Xenopus tropicalis: one gene and its partners. Each later gene encodes a partner of the first gene's protein in a complex. Links are inferred from orthologs where the notes say so. Each region holds a gene or a part of one and is shown in the gene's direction. Other genes may lie near its edges. The genes, in order: srrm2, cwc15, crnkl1, dhx16, snrpd2, rnf113a and rbmx2.

Region 1 (4,919 bases):
AAATAATGAAGACCAATTGCAAAGTTGTTATGAATAGTACATTTTAACAAACTAAAAGTTATCTTAAAGGTGAACCACCGCTTTCCTACTGTTCCTATATGGCACGCCAGAGGAACCCACTCATGCAGCCCACCCCTCCTGTATGCAGTGCTGCTGAACACAGGGGGCACTATGTACAGTGCCAGGCCCAAGTCTTTGTGCTTATATCCAGAAGTCAAAAGATTTGTCCCCGTACAGCTTCCTTACATTTGTTATAAACGGACCGTGGCAGCTTTACGTGAGCAAAAGATCCCATAATGCACTGCTCCCATTGGGAGATGTAACATAGAGTTCATTGTGATGGGATCTTCTAACCTTGCAGATACACAAGTGGACAAACCTTAAGCTGGCCATACACGTGGCGATCTGACGATGTTTCGTGCGACCGAAGGAGGTAGAAACAATAGGATTTCTACCTCCTTCTGCCGATTCAGCGCTGAAGGTAGATTTTGGTCAGACGCCTTCTATGGCGCCCGATCAAAATTTTCAAACTGGTCCGATCGGCGAGACGACCGATATCAGCAGCTTCCTGCGATATCGGTCGACTCACCGACATACCATACACGCACCGAATATCGTACGAAACGAGGTTTCGTACGATATTATCGGTGCGTGTATGGCCACCTTTAGCCAGATATTGGCCAGGCAGGGAGGGGCCCCTGATAATAAGCTAGTATCTCAGTCTGGAGGAGCCAACTCAGCCGGTTTTTGAAGATATTTGGATCCTAATCCAATTTGCAGTTGGTCTCCATTTTTTCTTTCTTTGGAGCTTTCGGGGACTATTCCTTGGGATCTCCCATTTTGGATTGCAACTGTTATCTGGTTGCTATGGGAAACACAATCAGGGTCGGACTGGGATACCTGAAAAAAACCCAGTGGCCCTGACCCGATCCCCACTGCAGAGGGTTAGGGGGACATGCCCCGCGGGGGCACCTTGGGGGTGAGGGGCCCTTGGGGCAGCAGCCCCGGTTGGCCCTGCACCCCCCCCCCAGTCCAACCCTGAACACAATACAATTACACTGGGATCTGCTGCTCAGCATTGAAAGAACCAGTGTCGGACCGGCCCCCCAGGATACCAGGGAAACTCCCGGTGGGCCCTCCTGCCCCTAATCTAACTTCATGGCCATTCCCTATTTCTGAATGGGAACAAAGAATAGAAATAGATGGAAGAATAGGTACTAGTATATAAATGAGACTAGGAGAATAAAGAAATTGGGTGGGGAAAGGAGGAAAATAGTTTTATAAGTTCATCTATGGTCTAAGGTTTTCCCTGGGGTCTGGACACTGGAAAAAACTACATATCCCAGCATGCCCTGAGGGCCCAGGTGCAGTTAAGGTTTCAACAGCAAAAGAGTTGAACAAGCCCCGCAATAGGGACCGAGAGACAATTTTCCCCATTAACACATTCGTTCACCTCCGCGTTAGCCAACATGACGTCACGTGTTCCGGCCGCTCAGTCCCGGGAAAAAAGCGGGCGCAGGAAAGTGACGTCGCACTAAAACGCGCGGCATGCCGGGACGTGTAGTCCCATAGGCGGAAACCGGGCGGTGACGTCAGCAGGCCGCCGCTCTGATTGGGTAAGAGACCCGCCACCTCTGAGCGCGTTGGTCACATGGGGCTTCCGTACGCAAGGCACGCACGGAACGTACAGCCCGCACCGTGTGTGAGTGGCGCAGCGAAGTGTCGGGGCCAGGCCGCGGAAGCGTCAGCTGAATAGTACCCCCGGAGGCTGGAAAAGAGGGTCCCTCCGAGGCGGAGGTGAGAGGCCTGTGAGGGAAGCGGGGTAGATTGGAAAATGGCGGAGAGCGGGAGGCGAATGGGAAGGCTTTATTAATAGGGACAAAAATGGAGGAAGCCAAACGTGGGAAGCAACGGGGAATTTCCCTCAGTCAGTGAGGGGGCCGGGCTGGCCCGCAGGCGGTGTTACTGTGCTACTCCCGCTACTGCGCTTTGTCCCTTCCCCATAGCATATGGTACAGCGCTCTCTCCCCTCTGGGGAACCCCCCCCCCCCCATACGCACTAGATAATAATGTCATTCTGAGCCCTTAGCCACTGTACGTCTCACATTCTCATTGGTTCATTGCGAGTTTGTTCCTTCTGCACTGCTGCTTCTGACTCCTGCAACAATGTATAATGTGTAATAATTGTATTGAAAAGTTATGTGAAGCCATTTTGGTGGAGATCACCTCTAAACTGGGGGTGATATTAGTAAGCATGGAGTAGAATAGGCCCAGTATGTTTCACATTGGGGGTGGCAGTTTGGGAGGAAGTAGAACCGGGGGGGGGGGGGGGCAGTTTGGGAGGAAGTAGAACCGGGGGGGGGGGGCAGTTTGGGAGGAAGTAGAACCGGGGGGGGGGGGGGGTGGCAGTTTGGGAGGAAGTAGAACCGGGGGGGGGGGGGGTGGCAGTTTGGGAGGAAGTAGAACCAGGGGGGGGCAGTTTGGGGAGGAGTAGAACCGGGGGGGGGGGGGTGGCAGTTTGAGAGGGAGTAGAACCAGGGGGGGGTGGCAGTTTGGGAGGGAGTAGAACCAGGGGGGGGTGGCAGTTTGGGAGGGAGTAGAACCAGGGGGGGGGTGGCAGTTTGGGAGGGAGTAGAACCAGGGGGGGGGTGGCAGTTTGGGAGGGAGTAGAACCAGGGGGGGGGGGGCAGTTTGGGAGGGAGTAGAACCAGGGGGGGGGGCAGTTTGGGGGGAGTAGAACGGGGGGGGCAGTTTGGGAGGGAGTAGAACCAGGGGGGGGTGGCAGTTTGGGGGGAGTAGAACCAGGGGGGGGCAGTTTGGGAGGGAGTAGAACCAGGGGGGGGGGGGTGGCAGTTTGGGGGGGAGTAGAACCAGGGGGGGGGGTGGCAGTTTGGGAGGGAGTAGAACCAGGGGGGGGGGGGGTGGCAGTTTGGGAGGGAGTAGAACCAGGGGGGGGGTGGCAGTTTGGGGGGGAGTAGAACAGGGTGGGCAAACTTTTTGGCCCGGGCCACATTGACTTACAGGGTCAGCGTTACGCCGATGGATTAAAAAAAACCAACGAGCTGGATGTGGCCCGCGGGCTGTAGTTTGCCCACCCCTGGAGTATATATGTGTAACTTTATTTATAAGGTGCCACAAGGGTACGCAGCGCTGTACAGTCTTACAATATACACAGTTACACACAGGGAGGACAAGTGTTATAATAAATACAATAAATATATATATATATATAAGTGCCATGTGGTATGAGACACAGTAGGAAGGAGGTCCCTGCCCCATAGAGCTTACAATCTGAAGGTAACCATATCTGGGAAGGTTTAGGGGCAGTTTGGGAGGGAGTAGAAGGTAACCATATCTGGGAAGGTTTAGGGGCAGTTTGGGAGGGAGTAGAAGGTAGCCATATCTGGGAAGGTTTAGGGGCAGTTTGGGAGGGAGTAGAAGGTAGCCATATCTGGGAAGGTTTAGGGGCAGTTTGGGAGAGAGTAGAAGGTAGCCATATCTGGGAAGGTTTAGGGGCAGTTTGGGAGGGAGTAGAAGGTAACCATATCTGGGAAGGTTTAGGGGCAGTTTGGGAGGGAGTAGAAGGTAGCCATATCTGGGAAGGTTTAGGGGCAGTTTAGAGGCTTGGGATGATGTATTGGTGGAGACGGGAATTGAAGTTATAAGTTGTAGTTCAGGAGTATCGGCTGAGCCAACAAATGGGAACAGGAATCTGAGTCGTCGGGGAGGTGGGTAGAACTGGAGGGCTCTAAAGGTTTAAATAAAAATTCACATTTTAGATAAAGTTGGAAGATTCGGACCAAATGAAAGTGTTTGGGGGGGGCTAATGTGCCGGTTGAAGTAACCAGTTCATGGTGTGTGGGTGATTATATAAATGAGGGTAACTCCCAAAGCACTAACATGGCTGGGTATATTTATCATAGCAGGTTAAAGCCCAGGGTGTTGGGCTTCAGGACTTACTGCATTTTTCATTTTTAATGCATTATATATACTGTATATATGTATATGTGTGTGTGTATGTGTATATATATGTATATATATATAAGTATAAGTTAGGGTCAATGACAGTAGTCACTTGTTGCTGAATAATGGGGTTAGTCAGTATCTGGACTTCATATCTAATGGCACCGTCTTCCTTAATTACCCAGGGCAGCACTAACTATATATTTCCCTCCTAAAGAAACTCACCCCAGAGTGTATCTTTCCACTGCTTCCTGCCACTTAAAGCAGAAATACTGCAGAAAATACAAACTATGGAAAACCGGTAACCAGGCAGAACTGTGGTGCAAATAGACATCTGCCAGGTGTTGGTTTGGATGTTACTTGGCCACGTGGGGTTAACTTCTGTTTCCTCGTTTCTCAGGCCCAACGGATCTATGGATTTGGCAAACTCTTCTGCTCTACCAACATCTTATTTTATCTCTCTTTTAGGACCCTGACTCCCTAGGAGCACAATGTACAATGGAATCGGACTCCCCACCCCAAGGGGCAGTGGAACCAATGGCTACGTCCAACGCAACCTGTCCTCTGTCAGACACAAGAAGGACAGGACCGATTACAAGTCCGAGGAGGAACTGAAGAAGCTGGAAAACCTCCTGGTGAAGAAACCAAACCAGGATATCTTAGATCACGAGAGGAAAAGAAAGGTGGAGCTAAAATGTTTGGAACTGGAGGAGATGATGGAGGAGCAAGGGTAAGAGACACATTAAACCAGTACAGGTATGGGGGTCTGTTATCCGGAAACCCATTATCCAGAAAGTTCCAAATTACAAAATGGCCATCTCCCATAGTCTCTATTATAAGCAAATAATTCTAATTTTTGAAAATGATTTCCTTTTCTTTGTAATAATAAAACAGTACCTGTACTTGATCCCAACTAAGATATAATTACCCCTTATTGGGGCAGAACAGCCCTATTG
Region 2 (4,877 bases), on another chromosome or scaffold:
GGCTACTGTGTATGGGGGCACTGTGTATGGGGGGGCAAAACTGGTACATAGTTATAACTCACTTATAACTGACTGCCTTCTCTCTATATTTGTATTTTATATGTAGGAGTTGCTATATTGTTTTCCTTAGGTAGTACAGTATGAGGGTATAGCACATTTGCATCTGATCCCGCCATTTCATCTATATAAAAGGAGTATTTTTAAAAAAAAATGGGGAGTGGCAATTGGGGCATGGCCACACAAAGTGGGCGTGGTCAAAAAATTAAGTATATAAGTATCTTTGAGAGTGTGTGTTATTTGTGTTAGTTTGTGTAGGCCTCAACTTGGCAAACTCCCTGCAACTCTGGGACCCTGCTGCCCCTTGGGTGAGTGCTTACCCGGTTGCTGGTGATCCGCCTGGGGAGGAACTGACCGGGAGACTTGCTGATTAACCAAACAAACTTCTTTATTCCAAACAGCATTCAGTGGTAATAAATGCAGACTCCGGTATCTCTCCCTTATATCCAAACCTGGAGTTTCTCTTGCTCCAGATAATCTCCCGTTTGGGAATATACTGTGACCTGAGCCAGCCACTGAATTTCCCTGAGCTACGGCCAGTAATGCCGGGAGGTGATAACCTCACTGATCTCCTCGGAGGGGCCTCAAACTGCCCAACTAAATACACTATCTATCTAGTATAAATAAATTTAAAGCAACTGGACTTGTTTGGTAACAAACAAGTCCAGTTGCTTTAGGGCTCTGGCACATGGGGCGATTAGTCGCCCGCGACAAATCTCCCTGTTCGTGGGTGACTAATCTCCCCGAGTTGCCATCAGTTGCCATCCCACCGGCGAACATGTAAGTCGCCGGTGGGATGGCACACGCGGCGCGATTTCGGCAAGTCGCCGAAAATGCCTCGCGAGGCAACTGCGCAGCGTGTACCATCCTTACATGCTCGCCGGTGGGATGGTAGTTCAGGGAGATTAGTTGCCCGTGACAAGGGAGATTTGTTGCGGGTGACTAATCTCCCCTTGTGCCAGAGCCCTTACATTTATTTATACTAGATATACCATGACCTGGATGAATGAAAATCTTCATAGACATACACTATCTATCCTTTCACTCCTAGAGTGACAATAAAATGTCTAACTGGCTCCTGTAGCTAACCTCTTAGAGAGGTGAAGTCCCAGGAAGAAGACCTCATGGTTTGTGAGTCCATTCCCTTTTATATTGCAGAACACCACCACCTAGTGGTCACTGCTGAACTGCAGAGGAAACTCTCTTTTAATCTGGAAAGAATAATTATAATAATATAATAATTAAAGATGAATTAAAAAGTTAAAAAAAAAATTGTAGATGTTTATGTAAAGTTGGGGGGAACACAGGTCAAAAAATTTCATAACGGTAATGATGCTTCATTGTTATTTGTATATGACAATAAACTAGAAACTATAGCACACACACAATTAGGACCACCCTTAGGTCCATATCCCACAAGGCCACCCACTGGTATGCCTGTCTAAAGGGGAACCCAGGCACAGGGGCCCAAATCTTGGGGTCCCTACATAAAAATTATTAAAAAGAATTAATGAATAACAAAAAAGGGCAACTAATTTAGTAAAGAGAAATCTCAGTTATGAAAAATGACTGCTCGGAAATGTTCTTATGTAAACCAACACAGAGAAGTCAGAAGCCCTGCACAGTGTTATATAATATTCTCCCTTTACCGCACATACACCCCCTGATTCATTACATAGCCACAACAAACATGGCCGCCGACGGCTTCCAATCAGCTGGAACGCCCTCTTGCTTACGTGACGCGTACTCCGAGCGCCGGAAGTTTCCCGGTGGAAAGAACTAGCGCGACGGGTAATTGTGACGCCAGTCGCCGTGGGATTTGGTGCTGGGGCTGAGGCGCTGTTACGGGGTGAGCGAAATCGCACCTTTGGGAAGAGGGGAATTCAGGCTGAACGGCAGCGATTATTTTAGTCATAGGGGATTGAGGCCCTCTAGGAGCAATATATCGCCCCCCACTATCCCTGTTGGCTGGGGAAGCTTACAGCTCGGCTTTATCTACTTAGCAATACTGTACCCTCCTGCCCAGTCTGTGAGTCCCCTGCTAATGTAAGGGAACTCGGCTGGTTAAGCCTATGGCCAGCAATATCAACTTGAGGGACAATTGAAAGTACAGGCATGGGATCCCTTATCTGGAAACCTGTTATCCAGAACGTTCCAAGTTACAGAAAGGCCATCTCCCATAGACTCCATTTTAATCAAATAATTCAAATTTTTAAAAATGATTCCCTTTTCTCTGTAATAATAAAACAGTACCTGTACTTGATCCCAACTAAGATATAATTACCCCTTATTGGAGCAGAACAGCCCTATTGGGTTTATTTAATGGTTAAATGATTCCCTTTTCTCTGTAATAATAAAACAGTACCTGTACTTGATCCCAACTAAGATATAATTACCCCTTATTGGGGCAGAACAGCCCTATTGGGTTTATTTAATGGTTAAATGATTCCCTTTTCTCTGTAATAATAAAACAGTACCTGTACTTGATCCCAACTAAGATATAATTACCCCTTATTGGGGGCAGAACAGCCCTATTGGGTTTATTTAATGGTTAAATGATTCCCTTTTCTCTGTAATAATAAAACAGTACCTGTACTTGATCCCAACTAAGATATAATTACCCCTTATTGGGGGCAGAACAGCCCTATTGGGTTTATTTAATGGTTAAATGATTCCCTTTTCTATGTAATAATAAAACAGTACCTGTACTTGATCCCAACTAAGATATAATTACCCCTTATTGGGGGCAGAACAGCCCTATTGGGTTTATTTAATGGTTAAATGGTTCCCTTTTCTCTGTAATAATAAAACAGTACCTGTACTTGATCCCAACTAAGATATAATTACCCCTTATTGGGGGCAGAACAGCCCTATTGGGTTTATTTAATGGTTAAATGATTCCCTTTTCTCTGTAATAATAAAACAGTACCTGTACTTGATCCCAACTAAGATATAATTACCCCTTATTGGGGGCAGAACAGTCCTGTTGGGTTTATTTCATGGTTAAATGATTCCCTTTTCTCTGTAATAATAAAACAGTACCTGTACTTGATCCCAACTAAGATATAATTACCCCTTACTGGGGCAGAATAAGCCTATTGGGTTTATTCAATATTTGAATGATTTTTACCAGACATAAGGTAGGAGATCCCTTATCTGGTCACGAGCATTCTGGATAACAGGTCCCATACCTGTAGTATCATTCTGCCTTTCCTGTGCTCTGCGCTGCTGCTTCTGACTCCTGAAGCTGTGTAGAAAAAGTCAGCTTATGAAAGTAGGAATTTTAAAACAGTTCTTGTATTTGTGTGTGAAACAGTTGTGTAAAAGATGACAACCGCGGCCAGGCCAACGTTTGAACCAGCAAGAGGCGGCAGAGGTAAAGGGGAAGCCGATCTCAGTCAGCTCTCAAAGCAGTATTCCAGCAGAGACCTCCCCTCTCACACTAAGATCAAATACAGGTATGTGAGTGGCTAAGGCATGTAAGATATTTGTTCTGTAGTCCTTAACATGGCACAGTGAATTATGTTGGTCATTAAAGGGGAAGTATATCCCCCTTTTCAAGATTATTTCACTTGTGCTTGTGTTGAACATTCTTTTTGTTATTATTTACAAACCATTATGAGACACCTCTGTATATGGGTGAAGACACACGGAGCTACTAGTAGCAGCTACTTGTCACGGCTACTAAAATAGACAGTGCTGATCATTTACTGATAATTGTCTCTAAATTGTGTGTTTTAGCAGAGGCAATTCTCAGTATTGTCTGTGGCAGGGGATTTTCTGGCGTTTAGTAGCCGTGACAAATAGCTGCTACTAAGTACCATGTGTCTTCATCCTAATACCTGTTCCTTATCACAGAGCCTAATGACTAAAGGCTGCCCCTGGGGGAAGGGAGGGGTTTGTTTATACAGTGGACTTTTCGTATGTATATATTTATTAAGCGGTACTTATGTACGCAGCGCTGTACAGTAGAATACATTAATACAAACAGGAGGTTATTAAAATAATAGATAAATACAAAGTATAACAATAAATACAGATAAATACAAGATACAGTTGCAATAAGTTAAGAGTCAAAGACACAAGAGGATGGAGGTCCCTGCCCCGTAGAGCATACAGTCTAGATGGGAGGGTAACTTACAGACACAAATAGGCAAATATAAGTGCTGTAGGTCACAGTGGGTGACATTACAATATAAGTGCCAGTTCCCAGATCAGGTGCTGGGTGAGTGCTCCAAAAGTTAGTCTTTAAGTTTAGTTTTAAGAACACTGGGGAGGATTTTCTTCGGAGGAAATCTGGGAGGGCATTCCAAATATAAGGGGCAGCAAGTTGGGAAACTGCAGTAGTAGTGGGGGGGGGGCGTAACCAAGCAGTTACTCTGCGAGGAACAGAGGAGTCGACCAGAAATGTACGGCGACACAAGGGAAGAGATGTAGTGAGGAGCAGAGGAATGGAGGGCTTTGAAGGTTAGGAGAAGGAGTTTGTAAGATATTCTTTGTTTAATAGGAAGCCATGATAAGGACTTTAGCAGGGGAAGGGCCTGAACTCTCCTGGATGAGAGGAGGAGAATTTTGGCAGCAGTGTTTAATATAGACTGTAGTGGGGAAAGATGGGAGTTAGGGAGGGCAGTTAGCAGCAGGTTACAGTAGTCAAGTAGTCGGGATAGGATGAGAGCATGCATGAGCAGCCTAGCTGTTGCAGTAGAAAAAAAGGGACAAATTTTAACAATATTGCGCAGGAAAAAGTGACAGGTTTTGACAGGGCTGTTAATATGGTCAGAGAAGGAGAGACTGGAGTCAAATATCACCCCCAAACAACG
Region 3 (4,615 bases), on another chromosome or scaffold:
CGATACTATCGTACGAAACCTTGTTTCGTACGATATTCGGTGCGTGTATGGCATGTCGGCGAGTCGACCGATATCGCAGGAAGCTGCTGATATCAGACGACTCGCCGATCGGCCAGGTTAGAAAATTTTGATCGGGCGCCATAGAAGGCGCCTGACCAAAATCTGCCGTCAGGGCTGAATCGGCAGAAGGAGGTAGAAATCCTATTGTTTCTACCTCCTTATCTGCTGTTTCAGCCCTGACTGTGTGTGGCGGATCTGACGATGTGTCGCACGAAACATCGTTAGATCGCCACGTGTATGGCCAGCTTAAGACCTGCATGAGTGGCTTCCAATTTTCCCTTATTCGCTACTACTTGAAGACTGCATCCAGGCATAACAAGCTTCCTTAAATGTGACTGCCGGCAGCTCCTGTTTCCATATATATATATGGAATTTTTTCAATAAAAACATTTTTTTCTTTTGCATCAAACCCCTGTGTGTGTGGCATTCTTTCTATTATATATATATATATATATATTACCAGAGGGGTGGCACATGGCTTTAATTATATACCCAGGTGCATGGTAAAAACATAACACATACAAAAAAGACCAGCAACACTGGGATTTCTGTGCAAATCAAAAAAGTATATTTAAATGTACATATACAGCCAACGTGACGTTTTGGTCCTCCCTAGTACCCTTTCTTTAAATGCACATTTCAATATACTTAACTCATGATCCATAGCACACAAGCTAATGTCTGCTCAGGTAAGGTCTTGGCTCTCAGATCATGAAGGTGCAGGTGAAATAATACAAATAATGAAAGCCCTTAGGAGTCAGCACCCCAGAACACGTCAAAGTGTATTTTAAAAGACTATAACAGAAAAGTATATCAAATTGTAGAGAGTTCCAGAACCTTAACGTGTTTCATTGGGCTAAACTGTATTTACTCAAAGGCAAATGTTCATAATATGTGCAGGTTCCATTTTCAATAACAAAGACAGAACAGGCGGACACAATGCATAAATAATTAATATCAGCATTTACAGATAGTGTTCATTTACTAACATACTAGTTGGTGCTGAACTTTGCGCCAGTGCAGAAACCCTAGCACCCAATCAGCAGTTAGCGCCGAGGGGCTCTTTGCCCAATGCTTAGCGGCGCACAGTGGTCACGCAAGGCCGGCTGTGGGTTCCAGACCCATACATGTTATTTTCACTATTCATGCTAAATCCAAGGTTATACAGCACGATATGCAGCTTCCCTGTTACCTGTCAGGAAGCTCAGTGGGTTCGGTCACTTGTGCAGGCAGCAGCTGTAAGGCATTCGCTCAGGATCAGGACGCGATACTCGGTTGCTATGGACACGGGACTGGGCGTGACATTCATCAGGGGCGGTCACCGAAACCAGCAAAAGTCCTACGGAGACTATTACGTAGCACGTAAAACCAACGCTACGTCATTACGCCCCGTCTTGGTGTTTCCTGTCAGGTTGTGTTGCAGACGTGAGGAAACATGGCGTCCACAGCGGCGGGGAAGCAGCGAATTCCAAAAGTGGCCAAGGTAATAAAGTTGGGATAGATTCTTAGCAGAAGGTCTGTACGGGGGTTTGTATGACTTGCTGATGGAGTTGTCTTACATTTAGCGATAATACGAACGCTGTGGTTGATGGGTAGCGAGTAGAACCCAGGAGAATTAGTATTCATAGCTGTGCCATCCTTGTAGCCCCCTCATTCATAGCTGTGCCATCCTTGTAGCCCCCTCATTCATAGCTGTGCCATCCTTGTAGCCCCCTCATTCATAGCTGTGCCATCCTTGTAGCCCCCTCATTCATAGCTGTGCCATCATTGTAGCCCCCTCATTCATAGCTGTGCCATCATTGTAGCCCCCTCATTCATAGCTGTGCCATCCTTGTAGCCCCCCTCATTCATAGCTGTGCCATCCTTGTAGCCCCCTCATTCATAGCTGTGCCATCCTTGTAGCCCCCTCATTCATAGCTGTGCCATCCTTGTAGCCCCCTCATTCATAGCTGTGCCATCCTTGTAGCCCCCTCATTCATAGCTGTGCCATCCTTGTAGCCCCCTCATTCATAGCTGTGCCATCCTTGTAGCCCCCTCATTCATAGCTGTGCCATCCTTGTAGCCCCCTCATTCATAGCTGTGCCATCCTTGTAGCCCCCCTCATTCATAGCTGTGCCATCCTTGTAGCCCCCCTCATAGCTGCCATCCTTGTAGCCCCCCTCATTCATAGCTGTGCCATCCTTGTAGCCCCCCTCATTCATAGCTGTGCCATCCTTGTAGCCCCCCTCATTCATAGCTGTGCCATCCTTGTAGCCCCCTCATTCATAGCTGTGCCATCCTTGTAGCCCCCCTCATTCATAGCTGTGCCATCCTTGTAGCCCCCCTCATTCATAGCTGTGCCATCCTTGTAGCCCCCCTCATTCATAGCTGTGCCATCCTTGTAGCCCCCCTCATTCATAGCTGTGCCATCCTTGTAGCCCCCCTCATTCATAGCTGTGCCATCCTTGTAGCCCCCCTCATTCATAGCTGTGCCATCCTTGTAGCCCCCCTCATTCATAGCTGTGCCATCCTTGTAGCCCCCCTCATTCATAGCTGTGCCATCCTTGTAGCCCCCCTCATTCATAGCTGTGCCATCCTTGTAGCCCCCCTCATTCATAGCTGTGCCATCCTTGTAGCCCCCCTCATTCATAGCTGTGCCATCCTTGTAGCCCCCTAGGCCCTCCCCCTCATTCATAGCTGTGCCATCCTTGTAGCCCCCCTCATTCATAGCTGTGCCATCCTTGTAGCCCCCCTCATTCATAGCTGTGCCATCCTTGTAGCCCCCCTCATTCATAGCTGTGCCATCCTTGTAGCCCCCCTCATTCATAGCTGTGCCATCCTTGTAGCCCCCCTCATTCATAGCTGTGCCATCCTTGTAGCCCCCCTCATTCATAGCTGTGCCATCCTTGTAGCCCCCCTCATTCATAGCTGTGCCATCCTTGTAGCCCCCCTCATTCATAGCTGTGCCATCCTTGTAGCCCCCCTCATTCATAGCTGTGCCATCCTTGTAGCCCCCCTCATTCATAGCTGTGCCATCCTTGTAGCCCCCCTCATTCATAGCTGTGCCATCCTTGTAGCCCCCCTCATTCATAGCTGTGCCATCCTTGTAGCCCCCCTCATTCATAGCTGTGCCATCCTTGTAGCCCCCCTCATTCATAGCTGTGCCATCCTTGTAGCCCCCCTCATTCATAGCTGTGCCATCCTTGTAGCCCCCCTCATTCATAGCTGTGCCATCCTTGTAGCCCCCCTCATTCATAGCTGTGCCATCCTTGTAGCCCCCCTCATTCATAGCTGTGCCATCCTTGTAGCCCCCTCATTCATAGCTGTGCCATCCTTGTAGCCCCCCTCATTCATAGCTGTGCCATCCTTGTAGCCCCCCTCATTCATAGCTGTGCCATCCTTGTAGCCCCCCTCATTCATAGCTGTGCCATCCTTGTAGCCCCCTCATTCATAGCTGTGCCATCCTTGTAGCCCCCTCATTCATAGATGTGCCATCCGTGTAGCCCCCTCATTCATAGATGTGCCATCCTTGTAGCCCCCTCATTCATAGCTGTGCCATCCTTGTAGCCCCCTCATTCATAGCTGTGCCATCCTTGTAGCCCCCTCACATTTGTCTTCTGAAATGTTGGTATCAAGGCTGAACCCACAAATGTGCACCTGTTTCTGAACTGGAACTAGCATCTTGCGTTCCAACAGTCAACCTGCTATTCTACCAGAAATATTCCTTTTTCCCTAACTGACTTTGTGTTCTTGTTCCACTGAAGGTTAAAAACAAAGCGCCGGCAGAGGTGCAGATTACAGCCGAGCAGCTGCTGAGAGAGGCCAAAGAGAGGGAACTTGAGCTTCTGCCTCCACCTCCTAAACAGAAGATCACAGATGAGGAAGAGCTTAATGATTACAAACTAAGGAAAAGGAAGGTAATGCTTTCAGCCGTGGCTAAAACTCATTTACCATGGGACAGCATTTGCAGCAGTAGGGTGCATTTTATACAGATGCTGTCAGGTCCTCTCTGCAGCATGGAAGTTTATGTTTAATCTGTAGTTCTGTGTTATGATTGCTGAGCTGCAGATTGGCTGGCATCCTACAGTGCAAAATGCTGAAATGCAGGAAATGTACAGATGCCTGCTGCAAGTAAGGTTTTGGGGATATGATTCTAAAAGTTGTATAAAAATACATTTTGTTAACATTTTTTACATGATTACATACAGAAAAATTTAGAAAACAATGCATGAACACTATCGGAACTTCCAGAGAGTAATCTAAATGTTTTTTTTAAGGATATTATTGAGATATTCACTGCTGCCTGTGTCCATGATGATGTCTCATTCATAAATGAATTGATGTCTCAATTCAATAAATACAGGATATAATTATCTCTATTTAGAGTCGTAATGTTAAAAGTGGTGTCTTTCTTTCAGACCTTTGAAGATAACATTAGGAAGAACAGGACGGTTATTAGTAACTGGATAAAATATGCACAATGGGAGGAAAGTCTAAAGGAAATTCAGAGGTATTCACTTTTTTAATTAAATTGGCATAGATGGCTTAAAATTAAATTTACGCTTATTAATGATTT
Region 4 (4,125 bases), on another chromosome or scaffold:
TATCTGTTATCTGCTATGTGCCTGTGCCTTTTCTCCTTTGAATGGCTGCCCCCATGGCTACATAGCAGCTTATTTATATAAATTATAGTAGACTTTCTGAAGTAAACACACAACTTTTACCAGTGCAGGGCAGCAGCACATTATATGTTAGTTACTTTTATACACTTTCATTTTCTGGTGTTACTGTTCCTTTAAATCATTTATGTTCCTTTATTGATATTTGAATTTTTAACACCATTCTAAAAAACAAAGACTACAGAGAGGAGTTTCTGTATGTAGCAAAAGCTTTACTCGCACTTTTTTGCTTTAGGTGGGATATAGTATTCGGTTTGAAGACTGCACATCTGAGCGCACAGTGCTGAAGTATATGACAGATGGGATGTTACTGCGGGAATTTCTCACTGAGCCTGATCTGGCATCTTACAGGTATCCATTATGCAATCTCTGGATTTGTATGTATTTAGGCAGGGGACTTCTGTTACATATGAATACATCATGCCTCATACAGAATCTTTAGAAAAATTAATTCATTTGTACAGCGACCAGCCTGTATTCTGTATTACTCTCTCCATTTCCTTATCATTTTTTTTTTCCACAAGTGTAATAATAATAGATGAAGCTCATGAAAGGACTTTGCACACAGATGTTCTTTTTGGCCTCATTAAAGACATTGCCCGTTTCCGCCAAGACCTCAAAGTTCTGGTAGCCAGTGCCACCCTAAACACAGAGCGATTTTCCTCCTTTTTTGATGATGCCCCAGTGTTTCGTATTCCTGGGCGCCGGTATCCAGTGGATATATATTACACCAAGGTAAATCACTGTAGGTTTGACACGAGAATTGACATTGGCAGCATTATTGATGAGATTGGGCATTTTATGTTTATTTCCTTTTTTGATGAATGATATTTTCACAACAGGCTCCTGAAGCAGATTACTTGGAGGCCTGTGTGGTGTCAGTGTTGCAGATTCATGTTACCCAGCCACCAGGAGACATCTTAGTCTTTCTTACAGGACAGGTATGTAGGCAGAAGTGGGAATGTGCTAACCAACAAATATATACGTTTTGGTATTTAAAAAAAAAAAAAAAAAAAAAAAAAGTTTGAAAAGTCACTGACCTTAGGTTAATGTGATATGGGATTATTTGACTGCCTAGATAGAAGTCCCTTCCAGTTAACATCTGTAGGAAATGCAAAAAAAAAAGCTCATGCTAAATAGTGGCAGTGTGAATTTTGTATGTGCAATAACCCTTTGTTAGGTTTATCATTTAATGTAAATGTACTGATGTTATAAGCAGTGCCACTGCTATGCAGTCTTGGTACATGTACATTTCATATGTTGCAGGAGGAGATAGAAACATGCTGTGAGATGCTACAAGAGCGATGTCGTCGACTAGGATCCAAGATTGCAGAGATGCTGGTGTTACCAATATATGCTAATTTGCCTTCTGACATGCAGGCAAAGATCTTTGAACCTACACCTCCAGGAGCAAGAAAAGTATGAGAGTCTAGCTGGTTTTCTTGTACTTATTAAATAGTAAAGTCTGACTCCCACCCTTCTGCCGGACCTAAACATCTAAAATGACGTGTCTGGACATCATCTTGTAGTGTAACCCAATTATGTAGAGAGAGAAATAACTAAACTAAATGCTTAGCACACCCTTTAAGAATAGCACAGACAAAAGATGCTATAAGTTATTCCCTTACATTGTGTGTTTCAGAGAGAAGGGAATTGTGGTACTACTTCTTCCTATAAGGAGTCTGAGGCAAATACCATATGCAGTATTGGGCTGCCCTTCTAAACCTGAGCTGTATAAACTGATGTAACTACCAGTAACTACCCTAAACTGGCACTCCAACGATGTTTTATTATGAATTGCTTCCAGACTCTCCCACAGGACCTACATGGCCTCTAGTAATGTGATTAAGTGTACACAATAGCTACATATGAGGTCTTATTAAATATAGAAAACCTACAATGTGTTCATTAAGGCATGTTAATAAATACACATTATAAAGTATAAAAATGACTGAAACCATTCTAAAGCTGGTATTATATGACTGTGGTACTAACAGAGCATTTCCTTGTATCCAACCCTTGTATATCTGTATAACTGTATGACACTCCCAACCAGTTTAGTTACCATAAGGTTGTCTTTAAAGAAGAGTTCTTATTAATTTGCAAACATACAGGGGTGCCACCCTCAAAGCAGGCTATTCCACATATATATTTTGCAGCTGTATCTGTCATATATAGTGCTTAAATGTTAGGCAGAGCGTCTCAGGGCATGACATTTCCTCTTCCTATTCAAACATGCTGGAGTAGTAGGTTAGAAGGAGTTATGAACCTTTTAGCATTGTCGTATTTTCTTTTTTTTTCAGGTTGTGATAGCCACTAACATTGCTGAAACATCACTTACAATTGATGGAATTATATATGTTATTGACCCAGGTTTCTGCAAGCAGAAAAGTTACAATGCTCGATCAGGAATGGAGTCCCTCATTGTGACTCCCTGCTCAAAGGTAAGTCTTACTAATCTGTTGAACCAATGCTGTCCATCATTTTCAGTGTAGAAGTTTTCAGGCAGATTTTTTTTTATAGATTTAAAAAAATAAAAAAAAAAAGTCTATGGCATACTTGGGCAGACATAGGGTCAAAAAATCTTTGGTACCACAATTGGACAGCTTTAGTTCACCTCCTGCAAGATTTTCAGCCTAACATTAATTTATAACTGCAGAATAGCCCTTAATTTAATAATCAATGAGAAATGCTTTCAAAACAATAAGGGTAAACCCTTATAATGAGGTGTTAGTACCACACTTTGGCCAAAATATGTAAGCTCTTGTGCCACGTCAAGGCCCCTCATTGTACGCGAGTCCTACACTGTCTAATGACTTTGAGTCTGTGATGCAATTAAAATCAAGTCCCCCAGCAAACAATGTGACTGAGTAGTAAGACCCTGTTGCACCTACCTTTAGCTCAAAAAGGCTCTAGTGGAAAAGCAGGGAACTTTTAAGCCCCAGCTCATTAGCACACACATGAAAGTGATTCATTGGTTTAAAGGCTACATAGCAGCTAGAAGCAAAATTTGGCTACAATTTGTACACAAAACACAGAAAGAAATCGCCAGCGCTCGGTCTAACCCACGCTGTAGCGTTGACCAGCTGCTAGAAACACCCTTGTGCCAGCGCTCGGTCTAGCCCACATTCTGGAGTTGACCAGCTGCTAGAAACTATAAAAAGCCATTAATTATACACAAAGAGAAAGAAAGATTGCCAGCACTTAGTTTGCCTTTAAAAATAATTTTTACAAAAAATGAGGTGTTAGTACCACACTTTGGCCAAAATATGTAAGCTCACGTGCCATGTCAAGGCCCCTCATTGTACGCGAGTCCTACACTGTCTAATGACTTTGCTGGGGGACTTAATTTTAATTGTATCACAGACTCAGTGTGACTGAGTAGTAAGACCCTGTTGCACCTACCCTTAGCTCAAAAGGGCTCTAGTGGAAAAGCAGGGAACTTTTAAGCCCCAGCTCATTAGCACACACATGAAAGTGATTCATTGGTTTAAAGGCTACATAGCAGCTAAAAGCAAAATTTGGTTACAATTTGTACACAAAACACAGAAAGAAATCGCCAGCGCTCGGTCTAACCCACGCTGTAGCGTTGACCAGCTGCTAGAAACACCCTTGTGCGCTGGCAATCTTTCTTTCTCTTTGTGTATAATTAATCGCTTTTTATCGTTTCTAGCAGCTGGTCAACTCCAGAATGTGGGCTAGCCCGAGCGCTGGCACAAGGGTGTTTCTAGCAGCTGGTCAACGCTACAGCGTGGGTTAGACCGAGCACTGGCGATTTCTTTCTGTGTTTTGGTAAACCCTTATAATGTCAGCCTCGTCTTGCCAATATTAAAACTAGGCCTTAAAGGGGCGGTTTGCCTCTAAGATAACGTTTATAGATACATTTTAGAATGTCCTACTCCTAGCACCTTTACAGTTCAAATGGGGGTCCAGAAAAATACACAATGTGCATTTTCTGAATCCAAGGTATCATTGGCTTTTTTTTTTCCCCAGCCACTTTTTGAAATGTTCACTCGTCACTATACTGTAGTATACAACATCTAGAGCTCT
Region 5 (4,653 bases), on another chromosome or scaffold:
CAGGGTATTTATATAAACTGTAGTAGTGTTTATGAAGAAAACACACAACTTTTACCAGTGCAGAGCAATAGTACATAATATATTAATTATTTTTATACACTTTCATTTTTTGGTGTTACTGTTCCTTTAACTTTTAGTGTGTTATAGAATTGCCTATTCCTATTCATTATTTCTTATAGTTTTGAATCATTTTTTTATTTTCTTCTAACTCTTTCCAGCTTTCAAATAGGGGTCACTGACCCCAGCAGCCAAAAAACTATTGCTTGGTGAGCATACAGTTTTATTGTTATTGTTACTTTTTATAACTTGTTTTTCTATTCAGGTCCTCTCCTATTTATTTACCACCCTTTCATTCAAATTGCTACCTGGTCGCTAAGGTAATCTGGACTCTAGCTCTAAGATAGCTGATGAACAAAAAGTGAAAGAACTAAAAAAAATACTACAAATAAAAAATTAAGACCAATTGCAAATTGTCTCAGAATATTACACTCTACATCAGGGATCCCCAACCTTTCATACCTGTGAGCCACATTCAAGTGGAAAAAGTGTTTGGGAGCAACACAAGCATGAAAAAGGTTCCTGGAGGTGCCAATGAGAGCTATCATTGGCTATTTGATAGCCCCCATGTGGACTGGCAGCCTACAGAAGGTTCTGTTTGGCATTATACTTGTTTTTTATGGCTGCAAAACATGCCTCCTTTACCAGAAATTCAAAAATGAGCACCTGGTTTGAGGCCACTGGGAGCAACATCCAAGGGGTTGGAGAGCAACATGTTGCTCGCAAGCTACTGTTTGGGGAACACTGCTCTATATCATACTAAAAGTTAATTCAAAGGTGAAGAACACCTTTAAATCTGCTACGCAGTAAAGCTATCCATTCAGTTATTTTACACAATAGGACACTAAAAAGTGTACACATTTTCTGGTCGGTCTTCCAAATGCTTTTGCAATTCAGATTTGTTTTCAGTTTCAAAGTTATTAAGCATGTTATAAGCGTCTATTATAATTATTATGTAACAATTGCGCCACCTACTGGTATATCCCTCCAATTGCACAATCTGAGAAAACATGGTCAAAATGAAACATGGAACTGTTCTTATTGCGCTCTTTAGCGACTGAATTCCCAGCACAGAGCGTTGCCTTACATACTGGAACAATATTGGAATAAGATTTGCCTTGTCCTATAACCACTCTAGGAACTAGATGCGCCCTCTTTGTTAACTAATCCACCCCGCCTTTTCTCTGTCAGATTACGCCGCTGCCCCTCTGCGTAGCAAACTGGAGGGAACTTGTTTCGTGTCGATCACGTGGGCACGTTTCTACAGGCTTAACCAAATCAAGCAGGAACTAGCCGCTAAAGTGGCCCGGAAGCGGAAGTGGCCCTTCAAAGGAAGCGTTCTACACGCCGGGAAAACGTGAGAAGGGAAAGGAAAGACAAAAAGAAAGATGTGAGTAACTGGTGGAATATCTTCAGCCCAGCTTTAAATACTTAAAAATAAGGAAAAAAACTAGCCTTTTGTATCTACTTAAGTTTAGCTGATTGACGCTTAGAACGAATGCCTCTATGTAGCAGAGCATGCGATTGTACTAGCCGGAACTTGCCTGCACTTAGAAAATGCTGTGTAGTTCTGTGATTTAATTACTGTGGCAGAGATGGCAGTGCCAAAAAGCTTCCCTTGCAGGCTACCAGCACCAGGTCGTGTGTATAAACAGCTCCCCGGGTTTTCTCATTATGCAATTGCATGTGACACTTGCTCACTATATACAGGCATGTTAATAACATGGCTACCTGCAGCAAGTTCTCCATCATCCGGGTGTGGGTGGCACATCGCTATGAGCATTTTTTTGGACAAAATGGTACTGTTTCCCCCAACCTAAGTGCGGGTTCTATTAGCCCAATTCAAATCCGATATGTGTCTTTTAATACTAAGCAACTATTCAGTATACACGATTTAAACATTTTCAATGGTTCTAAATGTTTTCAATCAATTTCTAATCAATTCCATATCTTTCCTGGTTGGACCCACATGACAAGTTTCTACAAAGGAAATATTCTGCAGCTTTATGTGCTTGCACGATTATAGAGATCTGTGTGGTCAACTTAAACACTAATTTGTGTTTAAAAAATGCATATGACTGAAAAATATGCCTTTTAACACATTCAGCCCAGACTTTTTTGTTAGTTTATTAAGGCTTAATTGCTCTAGCAATAAGGGGTGGGACTTCACACATGCTCAGTAATGTTTTTGACTATGGGGCACTCCTTTAAAAACATGGAGGCAGCAAGTAGATAGCGATGGGTAAAAACAGCTTTAAACATGATTATTTGGGGAAAATTAAACCTAGTAATTAAAATCGTACCAAAATGGACAGTTAATAGGGTAACCCATTTTTAATAAAATTGTATTCTCCATTAAACAAAAAATCACCAGTAGACGTTTTGTTGTCAGAAAAATAGTGTTATATCTGATTTAGTACAGTGGTGTGAAAAACTATTTGCCCCCTTCCTGATTTCTTATTCTTTTGCATGTTTGTCACACTTAAATGTTTCTGCTCATCAAAACCGTTAACTATTAGTCAAAGATAACATAATTGAACACAAAATGCAGTTTTTAAATGAAGGTTTACGTTATTAAGGGAGAAAAAAAAACTCCAAATCTACATGGCCCTGTGTGAAAAAGTGATTGCCCCCCTTGTTAAAAAATAACTTAACTATGGTTTATCACACCTGAGTTCAATTTCTGTAGTCACCCCCAGGCCTGATTACTGCCACACCTGTTTCAATCAAGAAATCACTTAAATAGGAGCTACCTGACACAGAGAAGTAGACCAAAAGCACCTCAAAAGCTAGACATCGTGCCAAGATCCAAAGAAATTCAGGAACAAATGAGAACAAAAGTAATTGAGATCTATCAGTCTGGTAAAGGTTATAAAGCCATTTCTAAAGCTTTGGGACTCCAGCGAACCACAAATGGCAAAAACATGGAACAGTGGTGAACCTTCCCAGGAGTGGCCGGCCGACCAAAATTACCCCAAGAGCGCAGAGACAACTCATCCGAGAGGCCACAAAAGACTCCAGGACAACATCTAAAGAACTGCAGGCCTCACTTGCCTCAATTAAGGTCAGTGTTCACGACTCCACCATAAGAAAGACACTGGGCAAAAACGGCCTGCAGGCAGATTTCCAAGGCGCAAACCACTTTTAAGCAAAAAGAACATTAAAGCTCGTCTCAATTTTGCTAAAAAACATCTCAATGATTGCCAAGACTTTTGGGAAAATACCTTGTGGACCGACGAGACAAAAGTTGAACTTTTTGGAAGGTGCATGTCCCGTTACATCTGGCGTAAAAGTAACACAGCATTTCAGAAAAAGAACATCATACCAACCGTAAAATATGGTGGTGGTAGTGTGATGGTCTGGGGTTGTTTTGCTGCTTCAGGACCTGGAAGGCTTGCTGTGATAGATGGAACCATGAATTCTACTGTCTACCAAAAAATCCTGAAGGAGAATGTCCGGTCATCTGTTCGTCAACTCAAACTGAAGCGATCTTGGGTGCTGCAGCAGGACAATGACCCAAAACACACCAGCAAATCCACCTCTGAATGGCTGAAGAAAAACAAAATGAAGACTTTGGAGTGGCCTAGTCAAAGTCCTGACCTGAATCCTATTGAGATGTTGTGGCATGACCTTAAAAAGGCGGTTCATGCTAGAAAACCCTCAAATAAAGCTGAATTACAACAATTCTGCAAAGATGAGTGGGCCAAAATTCCTCCAGAGCGCTGTAAAAGACTCGTTGCAAGTTATCGCAAACGCTCAATTGCAGTTATTGCTGCTAAGGGTGGCCCAACCAGTTATTAGGTTCAGGGGGCAATTACTTTTTCACACAGGGCCATGTAGGTTTGGATTTTTTTTCTCCCTAAATAATAAAAACCCTCATTTAAAAACTGCATTTTGTGTTTACTTGTGTTATCTTTGACTAATAGTTAAATGTGTTTGATGATCAGAAACATTTTGTGTGACAAACATGCAAAAGAATAAGAAATCAGGAAGGGGGCAAATAGTTTTTCACACCACTGTATATATTCCCAATTCTTGCATAGACCAGTATGTTAATGAAATCTAAACTGTGGTGGGGCTAATAGTGACATGAATGGTTTATAATCTCTCTAAAGAGCTGCAGAATGTATCAGCGCGTTATAATAATCTGTATGTATACACCCTTTTATTGCACAGTGCCAATAAATATGTTGACACTTTATAGATCCATGTTAATAACATATTGCCAAATAATTCCCTGCACTTATACACAAAACTAAGAGTTGGACAGCGCATATTGTGATTTTGTTAACTGACACCATTGTTTGTAATTAAAAGGTTTAATAATTTAATGCCATCTCACACTGATTCTAAATCTCTTCAGGAGTCTCCTTAACAAGCCCAAAAGTGAGATGACACCTGAAGAGCTACAAAAGCGAGAAGAGGAGGAGTTCAACACAGGGCCACTGTCTGTGCTTACTCAGTCTGTGAAGAACAACACACAAGTTCTGATCAACTGCAGGAATAACAAAAAGTTGCTAGGCAGAGTAAAAGCCTTTGACAGGTACTATGTTGATAAAAACTTGGGAAATAAAGGGAATGAATCGGTGCATGTTT
Region 6 (4,592 bases), on another chromosome or scaffold:
TTTAACAATACAAACACATAGTTGTGCAAAACAGAACAACAAGGCTCAAGCTCCCTTTAGAAGACCCCTGTGTCCAGGAAGAGGCAGCAGCGGCACAGTGGACACAGAGATCATATGTGGGGGGGGGGGGGGGGGGGGGGGTTCAAATTGGAGAAGGAAAATTCTAGCTGGTGGAACAGTAATCCTGTAGAGGAGCATTGTCACATGAAGACGCTGGCAGAGTTCCGAGAAGGGAACCACTATCAAGTAAGAGATTTAACGACACATTAGCTTGCATGCAAGTATCTAGAGAATTTTTAAAGACCTCTAAGTTGCTCTCAGGAGTACATAGACTGTGATTACTATGGGGAGGAATATACAAGCTGTTACAGACCAAACAATAATCACAAGGGAACAGTTCCTGTGTGACTGATTCTATACCGTAATATAGGAGAACTGAAACTCGCAAACACATTTGTTGTTCTGTTTATGGAGGGGGTGAAAATGTGTGGTAATCGGAAAAGTGAGAGTCAGAAGGTTGCGGGGGATAAAGGGGAAAGTTAGGAAAAGTGTGAGATCAAAACAGAAGGTCCTGAATGAAAGGGCAGCGGAGGTAATAGGGAAAGCAAATGAGAAAAGACAAGAGGTTAGAAAGAATCTTTCATGGAATTGTCGTTGCTACTAGAATTTTCCTCTCCCATTACCCACAACTATGTATTCATGCCATTCTGTTTTCCCTGCACCACCCAGTGCTGATTCTGACTGCCAACAATTCGGCCTGATGTACCAGCAGTTCCACTCTTTTCAGACCTGAGCATTCAATCTTAGCTCTGCCCACCGCTGTCACGCCTTGCCCACCTGGCCCTGTCTGTAGGCTGCAGTCTTTTCTAAATAAATATTCAGACAGGATCTTTCTTGCTGATTAATAATAACATCAATTATACGTTGAGTAGGCTGGTAACCTTAGCAATCTGATATGTTACCCTCGCTAAAAGCTCTCTCTCTCTGCAAAAATGTAATTTTTCACATTTCCTTTTTTCCCTAATGGCCATCTCCCATCTGTCTTTTTCTATCACTGGTTGCCGAGCCCTGTTATAAGAACTTTAAAATACTTCCAGTCACACTGTTTAGACGTGCATACTGTCACACAAAATGTTGTGTTTCTGTTTCGTGCAAAAGATGTTCTTCTTTGTCAGGGCTGCTGTTATACTGTTTGCTAGCACACTGCAAAGCGGGCACTCACCTCCAGATGTTCCAGAATATCAAACACCGCGTTGGCATTGGTTCTACTTCCCAGTACTGCTGCGAGTTTGCTATCCAAATCGTGGCGCTCGGCATCACTTTGCTTGGCAAAGCTCGAACTCACACGTTTCGCTTTGCGCGCTGCCATCTTGCTACTGGAGCAACGCGACTTCCCCCCGGTAATGCGCCTGCGTGCGCTTTCTAAACAGGAAGTGGCCTCAGCCAATGCGCGCAATCTGGAGCTAGTCTGGCGTCACAGGAATAATGGCGGACTCTAACGCACCAGTTTGCAGTTTCGTGTTTAAAAAAAGTGCCCGAAAGTTCGCGGGACGGAAACGCAAAGAATCGGACAATGGTGAGACAAGGAGAAAGTGGGAGTGCAAATAAATGTTTATTATAATATAGTATTATAGGCATTACACGCTTACCGTGTATAAAATTCAGCAAAGTGTTGGGATGGAGTAAATGAGTTAAATGCAGAAGAGAGCGCAGATACAACTAATTGCGCAAGTGTTGTTGCTGTTAGCAACCAATAAGGTTTTTGCTTTTATTTTCAAACGTGTATATTGGCCAACTATTCGACTTTGTTCCTTACTCAAAACCACTATCTTAAAGGAGATGCAGGTGAGGGTGGCTGTATTGTTTGCTGGATATAATTACCATTAGAAATCAGTAGCATGTACCAGGGAATTAAGGTCCAAATGACAAAACAAAAATCAAACCCATCAAAGTATTTGCAAAACATTAACAACAACAAATATAATTATACATACAGCCTCATTTACTGTTCATTGGTACAGGTATGGGACCTGTTATCCAGAATGCTCAGGGCCTGGGGTTTTCCTGATAAGGGGTCTTTCTGTAATTTGGATCTCCATAACTTTAGTTTGTTAAAAATCATTTAAATATTGAATAGGATTGTTTTGTCTCCAATAAGGATTAATTATATCTTAGTTGGGAATCAAGTACAAGATACTGTTTTATTATTACAGAGAAAAAGGAAATCATTTCTAAAAATGTGAATTATTTGATTAAAATGGAGACTATAGGAGATCCGTAATTTGGAACTTTCTGGATACAGGTTTCCGGATAAGGGATCCCATACCTTTATGTCACTGGGCTCACATGCATTTGGTGTCTTAAATTTATCGAATTTCAGAATAGTACTTAGATGCATCTGTTGTATAAGTGTGTTGTACTATTCTGATCAGTCCTTTACTGATTTGTTTGCAGAGAGCAGCGAGGAAGAGAAAGGTCCAGTGATAAGGAGGATAAAGAAGGATGTGGTTAATCCCATGATTCAGAAGGTTAGAGTCACAGGTATTCACTATGTCACCCTGAGGCCCCAGGAGCATTAAGGAGCTTTATAAAATTTTCTGCCAGTTAATCTTTCAGAGTGGGCAGCAACACTTCTCCCAGATATTTCCTGTAGACCTCTCTGTTTAGAGATATAGATACCACATCATCTTCTCCTGGCAGCTAATGGCTGAATGGAAGCACAACACATGCCATAACCCTCTCCAGCCTGTCACCCTGTGTGCAGGACAGACGTTAACATGCCACAGAAGGGATGTGTGTAGTGTTTGTCCTCTTGAGCTTTCTGGTAGTTGTATTTACCTCTGTGTGTGATTTAGAGCAGGCAGCAACCAAAGGACTGTGAAGATTACAAAGCAAGCAGCAGTGAAGATGAGGACAAAACAGCGAAGTCTATCACTGTGTCTTATAAATCTACCCGATCTGCGGTAAGAGACTCTTTTGGAATTGGCTTATTCTTAGCACAGGCTTTATGTCATAAATGTTAAAATCTTTGAAACCCATCATCAGTTAGTTCTTTGTGATATTTTATTCAGTTTGTGAATCAGCCTATGCTGTCTGTCTTGTTTCAATATAAATGATGCATTGAAAAAAAATCTGTATTTATAGAATGACATGTCTAAGACACCCCCCATTTCTTACTATGTATGCATTCTTTGTTTCTTGCAGAAACCAGTAGGGCCAGATGACATGGGAGCCACAGCTACATATGAACTAGACACTGAAAAAGACAAGGATGCTCAGGCAATTTTTGAGAGGAGCCAGAAAGTACAGGAAGTGAGTATTTAGTATGTGATGCAGTGGATTATATATTCACCTTAAACTATGAGAGAACCACTAAAGCAGAGAACCCCAACCTTTCTTACTCATGAGCCACAATCAAATGTAAAAAGACTTGGAGAGCAACACAAGTGCCATAAAAGTTTGTGGAGGTGCCAAATAAGATAGGTAGCCTCTATGCACACCATCAGCTTACGAGGCTTTATTTGTTAGCAAATCTTGTTTTTATTCAACCTAAACTTGCCACCAAGTCAAGAATTCAAAAATGAGCACCTGCTTTGGGGGCAGTGAGAGCAACATCCAAGGGGTTGGTGAGCAACATGTTGCCCCCGAGCCAATGGTTGGGGATCACTAAGGAATGCAATAAGTGTTAGTAAAGCATGCAGTGTTCTGCATGACTTACATGCAGTTTCTTTAAAAATTCTGTGCTTTTTTTCTCTTCACTTTACTTTCTTTAATATTGTAATACTCTCCTTTTCATAGATGACACTCTGTTTAGTTCCCACTATTTATTTTGCTTTAATCTGACAGGAGTTGAAGGGGAAGGAAGATGACAAGATCTATCGAGGAATCCACAACTACCAGAAGTTTGTGAAACCCAAAGATACCTCTATGGGCAATGCATCCTCTGGCATGGTTAGGTACGTGTACCCCTCCCACTTTCCATTCTGTTTTAATTTAGAAACATTTCACTTTTCAATCAACTGGGTGATTAAATCCTAATAGTTTAGTCTGCATTGATAACTTTAACTTTTATCATTTTAGGAAAGGACCAATACGTGCCCCAGAGCACCTCAGAGCCACAGTACGTTGGGATTACCAGCCAGATATTTGCAAAGATTACAAGGAGACTGGGTTCTGTGGGTTTGGAGGTCAGTTGCTGGATTGTGTTGTACCCCTTTCCATTAAATGTCTGTTGTTCCTTTGGCCCTTTTTGCCCATATTTTATTCTCTCTTCCCTTACTATTATTTATTATGTAACACTGCAAGTTTTACTCACAGCTAGTTTCACTTATACTGGGCCTAATTTAAGTACACAAGTATGAGCAATTACCCATAGCAGCAGTCAGTTTTTTACTTTTATTTTCTAACTTGTGGACTGATTAATCTTATAGCTGGCTTCTGTTAGCAAAGGAACAGTTTAGCTTCCACTCATATTTGCAACCTTCTGTTTCTGCACCCAAAGTCACTGTGTTGATGAAACCCTTGAGTATGCATTTCTGTGCTGAAATCCACTCGCAGTGGCTCCGGGTACAGACACATATCTGAGTGGATGC
Region 7 (2,844 bases), on another chromosome or scaffold:
TAGTGTGAACTCGTTACAAGTAGCAAGGGATGGATTGCTTATACCCCCCCCCCAAAAAAAAATACAATCACTGTTATGTTTTCATTAAACAGGAGAAGTATCCTAGAATACAATATTTTAATTTACCTAAGCACATTTAACCTTTCAAATTGGGGCCTTTTTTTTACCTATCATGCTGTTGCCTTATTCACAGCATTAACTAGTGATGGTAGCAGGAAAAATTATCATATTTTATTACAATTTCCAATTTTACATTTGCCATTATTATTATAGTCCTGCTGGTTGTTTACAGCTGATCTGTGTATTTAATTCTTCTGCTAAACTAAATTGATAGTTTTTTGTTTTTTCATGTTAGATAAGAAGAAAAAAAAAGACAAAAGCAGGAGGAAAGAGGAAGAGGGTGGCAACAGCAGGCATAACAAACAAGAACGTTTGGATTCCCCTTATGACAGATCCAGGACAATTGAGAAGTTTTCCAGGGTGGGAAGTGAGAGCTCAAGGGCCATGGAAGAAAACCGTGGCTCTCACAAAAAGAGTAACAGCAAAGGTGATTCCCATGATAAGTACAAAGAACAGCACAAGGAAAAAGAGGAACGCAAAGAGCGAGAACAACAAATGCCAAGAGATAAGTACAGAGAGCAGCAAGAGCAAAGATCAAAAGACAAGACAGAAAGAGGCAGAAGGTAGCAGAAGAGTATGCTTTATGGGGACAATAAGAGGTGGAACGTCTGTGCAGTGTTTAAGCCCAAGTTGTTATTAAATACATACTAAGGACCCTTGGTGTACAGTGTATGGAATGATGCATGGGAGAAGGATTTTAAGAAGTAAAAGGCAATTGTGATGTACTGGCCACTTTGAAATGGCAGGAGCTGAACCTTGCTATAATTGTTTGTCTGTCAAAAAACTAAATTAGAAATACAACTGCTGAGCAGTGATAAAAAATATTTGAAAAACTGGTAGACAAAGTAAAGTGACATCAGTTCATGAGGTATTAAAATAGAGTAATCTGGCGTAATATAGTAGAGCTTTACCTGCAGAATGAGATTTTCCATCTTTAAAATCACCAAGATCAAATGTATTTTTTTTACTTTTTAACAATACAAGTTTTATTGAACAGATTATAATAGATTTAGTTCACAAGCAGAATTAAAATATAGTATAGCTGGTACATCAAGGCATATGCAAATAGTACACACATTTTACAAAACTGGAGCAATGGCCTGTTGTGACTGCACAAATAGCAGTGTGTATCATTTAGGGCATTACATACAGTCATTGTATATGAAGAGGAAAGAAAAAACAGTATAATAAGGGTTACATTATATGCACCCATGCTGCCAGAGGGGGTGATCACTATTGTAGCCTTTAGAAGTGAATCAGCACTGGAATGACAAGTTATTGGCATCAGTGTAAAGCAGTGCCCTGCAGAAGCATTAACTTAAATCATGTTAATTTCAGTGTACACCTAAGGGGTCGTACAGTATTCCAAATTTGTCGGGCATCCCAGCATAAATAACTTTGTGCAGCGCAAACACCATATTGATGTGCTTTTTTCCAATGGGCTTTCTGCTTTTCAGTGTATTACAATGATGAGTATTGCTACTAGTTTTCTCACGGCTCCTGGTAGGGGCTAGTGGATCTGGCTGTATCAGCACATTATTTATGACCATCTAACTGGTATTATCAAACTTCCGAACCTTTGTATCCTGTGACAGGACCAAATGACATTTTAGGGCATTTACCAGAGATACATTCTTTGTAGACATTTACATTCTTATTTGTCTTTAGCTCTGACCAGATATTAATATTGGGAGTCTACAATATCAGGGCAACCTAAACTTAATGCATTTAATATTATTTGGTCCACAGATGGAGTTCTGGAACAGAAAAAATTCAGAGCATTATGCCAGACCTACACTACTTCTTGTATTAGTGGGGTTGGTTTGGAACCTCTGTATAGAAGGTTTTTAAGCTCTTCATATGTACCTATAATACAGACTCCTAGGGGGTGATTTATCACTTTGAGTTTTTTTCACCCCTTTGAGGGGGAAGCCCACCACCAGGCTACTGGCCACTGGATAATATAAAAAGCTATTGGATGCCACTAACCCACCACTCTCTTGTCAAATGTATGTTTATTAGATTTATTTGGTGGTCATAATGTTTTTGTTTTTTTTTTGACAAATAAAGCAAGATTTGTGTATTCATTTCCGCTATTACATGAATGTATTTAACTAGCTGTATTATTCCATCAAAATAAAATTGCACATCCATGATAGCCCAGTTTTCTTTATGTATTCATAGAAAGGAATAGACCACAAAGCAAAAGATGAGAAGAATTTTGTTCGTCCAATTGCAGCATACACTATATACAGTTCAGTTTGGACATAAATTAGAACCCATCCTGAAAGCTTGTGTACATTCGCCTTTAAATAAAGTATGTAGGGTGGTTGCCCACAACTTTAGCCCATATGCTTTGTCTGTTATTTAAATGATAATAAAAAGGCAGTTTGGCATTTTATTGCCAATAGATTAACCACAATAGTGCAAGCTAGAATGCTGTATTTATTCTGCAAAATGCTTTGCCATACCTGAGTAAACGGTCATAGAAGCTCTCTCCGTTTATTTAAAATAGAAGCTGCCATTTTAGACTGATGTCCCATTGAGAGATTTATCCACAATAGATCTTTGCTACAAGGGGCAAGTAATCTCTCTAAAATGCCTTCCCACTGGCAACAATACAATTTGGCAGTAAAAAGGCCTACACATCGCTTCTGTTTTCCAAAGTTTCCTCCTGCAGTCAACTTAGAGTGACTTTTGAAACCAGAAGCAATGCGTAGACCT

Evidence for each region.
Region 2: srrm2 (region 1) and cwc15 share a complex: the UniProt entries of both Homo sapiens proteins name them as parts of the minor spliceosome. The link is inferred for Xenopus tropicalis from reciprocal best matches to the Homo sapiens genes SRRM2 and CWC15.
Region 3: srrm2 (region 1) and crnkl1 share a complex: the UniProt entries of both Homo sapiens proteins name them as parts of the minor spliceosome. The link is inferred for Xenopus tropicalis from reciprocal best matches to the Homo sapiens genes SRRM2 and CRNKL1.
Region 4: srrm2 (region 1) and dhx16 share a complex: the UniProt entries of both Homo sapiens proteins name them as parts of the minor spliceosome. The link is inferred for Xenopus tropicalis from reciprocal best matches to the Homo sapiens genes SRRM2 and DHX16.
Region 5: srrm2 (region 1) and snrpd2 share a complex: the UniProt entries of both Homo sapiens proteins name them as parts of the minor spliceosome. The link is inferred for Xenopus tropicalis from reciprocal best matches to the Homo sapiens genes SRRM2 and SNRPD2.
Region 6: srrm2 (region 1) and rnf113a share a complex: the UniProt entries of both Homo sapiens proteins name them as parts of the minor spliceosome. The link is inferred for Xenopus tropicalis from reciprocal best matches to the Homo sapiens genes SRRM2 and RNF113A.
Region 7: srrm2 (region 1) and rbmx2 share a complex: the UniProt entries of both Homo sapiens proteins name them as parts of the minor spliceosome. The link is inferred for Xenopus tropicalis from reciprocal best matches to the Homo sapiens genes SRRM2 and RBMX2.

What each region holds. Positions count from the first base shown.
Region 1 is NC_030685.2:12,488,187-12,493,105, forward strand, and holds the start of srrm2 (serine/arginine repetitive matrix protein 2), read left to right. Parts: upstream 1-1,630; 5' UTR 1,631-1,797; intron 1,798-4,431; 5' UTR 4,432-4,454; coding exon 4,455-4,693; intron 4,694-4,919. Other genes in the region: thoc6 (THO complex subunit 6 homolog), read right to left, coding at 1,454-1,471. UniProt on the Homo sapiens protein: Required for pre-mRNA splicing as component of the spliceosome. As a component of the minor spliceosome, involved in the splicing of U12-type introns in pre-mRNAs.
Region 2 is NC_030678.2:164,534,896-164,539,772, reverse strand, and holds the start of cwc15 (protein CWC15 homolog), read left to right. Parts: upstream 1-1,871; 5' UTR 1,872-1,906; intron 1,907-3,373; 5' UTR 3,374-3,384; coding exon 3,385-3,515; intron 3,516-4,877. UniProt on the Homo sapiens protein: Involved in pre-mRNA splicing as component of the spliceosome. Component of the PRP19-CDC5L complex that forms an integral part of the spliceosome and is required for activating pre-mRNA splicing.
Region 3 is NC_030681.2:36,926,193-36,930,807, forward strand, and holds the start of crnkl1 (crooked neck-like protein 1), read left to right. Parts: upstream 1-1,466; 5' UTR 1,467-1,495; coding exon 1,496-1,543; intron 1,544-3,803; coding exon 3,804-3,956; intron 3,957-4,457; coding exon 4,458-4,549; intron 4,550-4,615. UniProt on the Homo sapiens protein: Involved in pre-mRNA splicing process. As a component of the minor spliceosome, involved in the splicing of U12-type introns in pre-mRNAs.
Region 4 is NC_030684.2:75,481,936-75,486,060, reverse strand, and holds part of dhx16 (putative pre-mRNA-splicing factor ATP-dependent RNA helicase DHX16), read left to right. Parts: intron 1-310; coding exon 311-426; intron 427-599; coding exon 600-810; intron 811-917; coding exon 918-1,016; intron 1,017-1,341; coding exon 1,342-1,494; intron 1,495-2,378; coding exon 2,379-2,519; intron 2,520-4,125. UniProt on the Homo sapiens protein: Required for pre-mRNA splicing as a component of the spliceosome. Contributes to pre-mRNA splicing after spliceosome formation and prior to the first transesterification reaction.
Region 5 is NC_030684.2:70,385,729-70,390,381, reverse strand, and holds the start of snrpd2 (small nuclear ribonucleoprotein Sm D2), read left to right. Parts: upstream 1-1,374; 5' UTR 1,375-1,445; coding exon 1,446-1,447; intron 1,448-4,420; coding exon 4,421-4,600; intron 4,601-4,653. UniProt on the Homo sapiens protein: Plays a role in pre-mRNA splicing as a core component of the spliceosomal U1, U2, U4 and U5 small nuclear ribonucleoproteins (snRNPs), the building blocks of the spliceosome.
Region 6 is NC_030677.2:156,458,229-156,462,820, forward strand, and holds the start of rnf113a (RING finger protein 113A), read left to right. Parts: upstream 1-1,467; 5' UTR 1,468-1,485; coding exon 1,486-1,576; intron 1,577-2,454; coding exon 2,455-2,528; intron 2,529-2,855; coding exon 2,856-2,963; intron 2,964-3,204; coding exon 3,205-3,312; intron 3,313-3,846; coding exon 3,847-3,956; intron 3,957-4,080; coding exon 4,081-4,187; intron 4,188-4,592. Other genes in the region: noc4l (nucleolar complex protein 4 homolog), read right to left, coding at 1,223-1,369. UniProt on the Homo sapiens protein: Required for pre-mRNA splicing as component of the spliceosome. As a component of the minor spliceosome, involved in the splicing of U12-type introns in pre-mRNAs. E3 ubiquitin-protein ligase that catalyzes the transfer of ubiquitin onto target proteins.
Region 7 is NC_030684.2:38,932,654-38,935,497, reverse strand, and holds the end of rbmx2 (RNA-binding motif protein, X-linked 2), read left to right. Parts: intron 1-355; coding exon 356-687; 3' UTR 688-2,207; downstream 2,208-2,844. UniProt on the Homo sapiens protein: Involved in pre-mRNA splicing as component of the activated spliceosome. As a component of the minor spliceosome, involved in the splicing of U12-type introns in pre-mRNAs.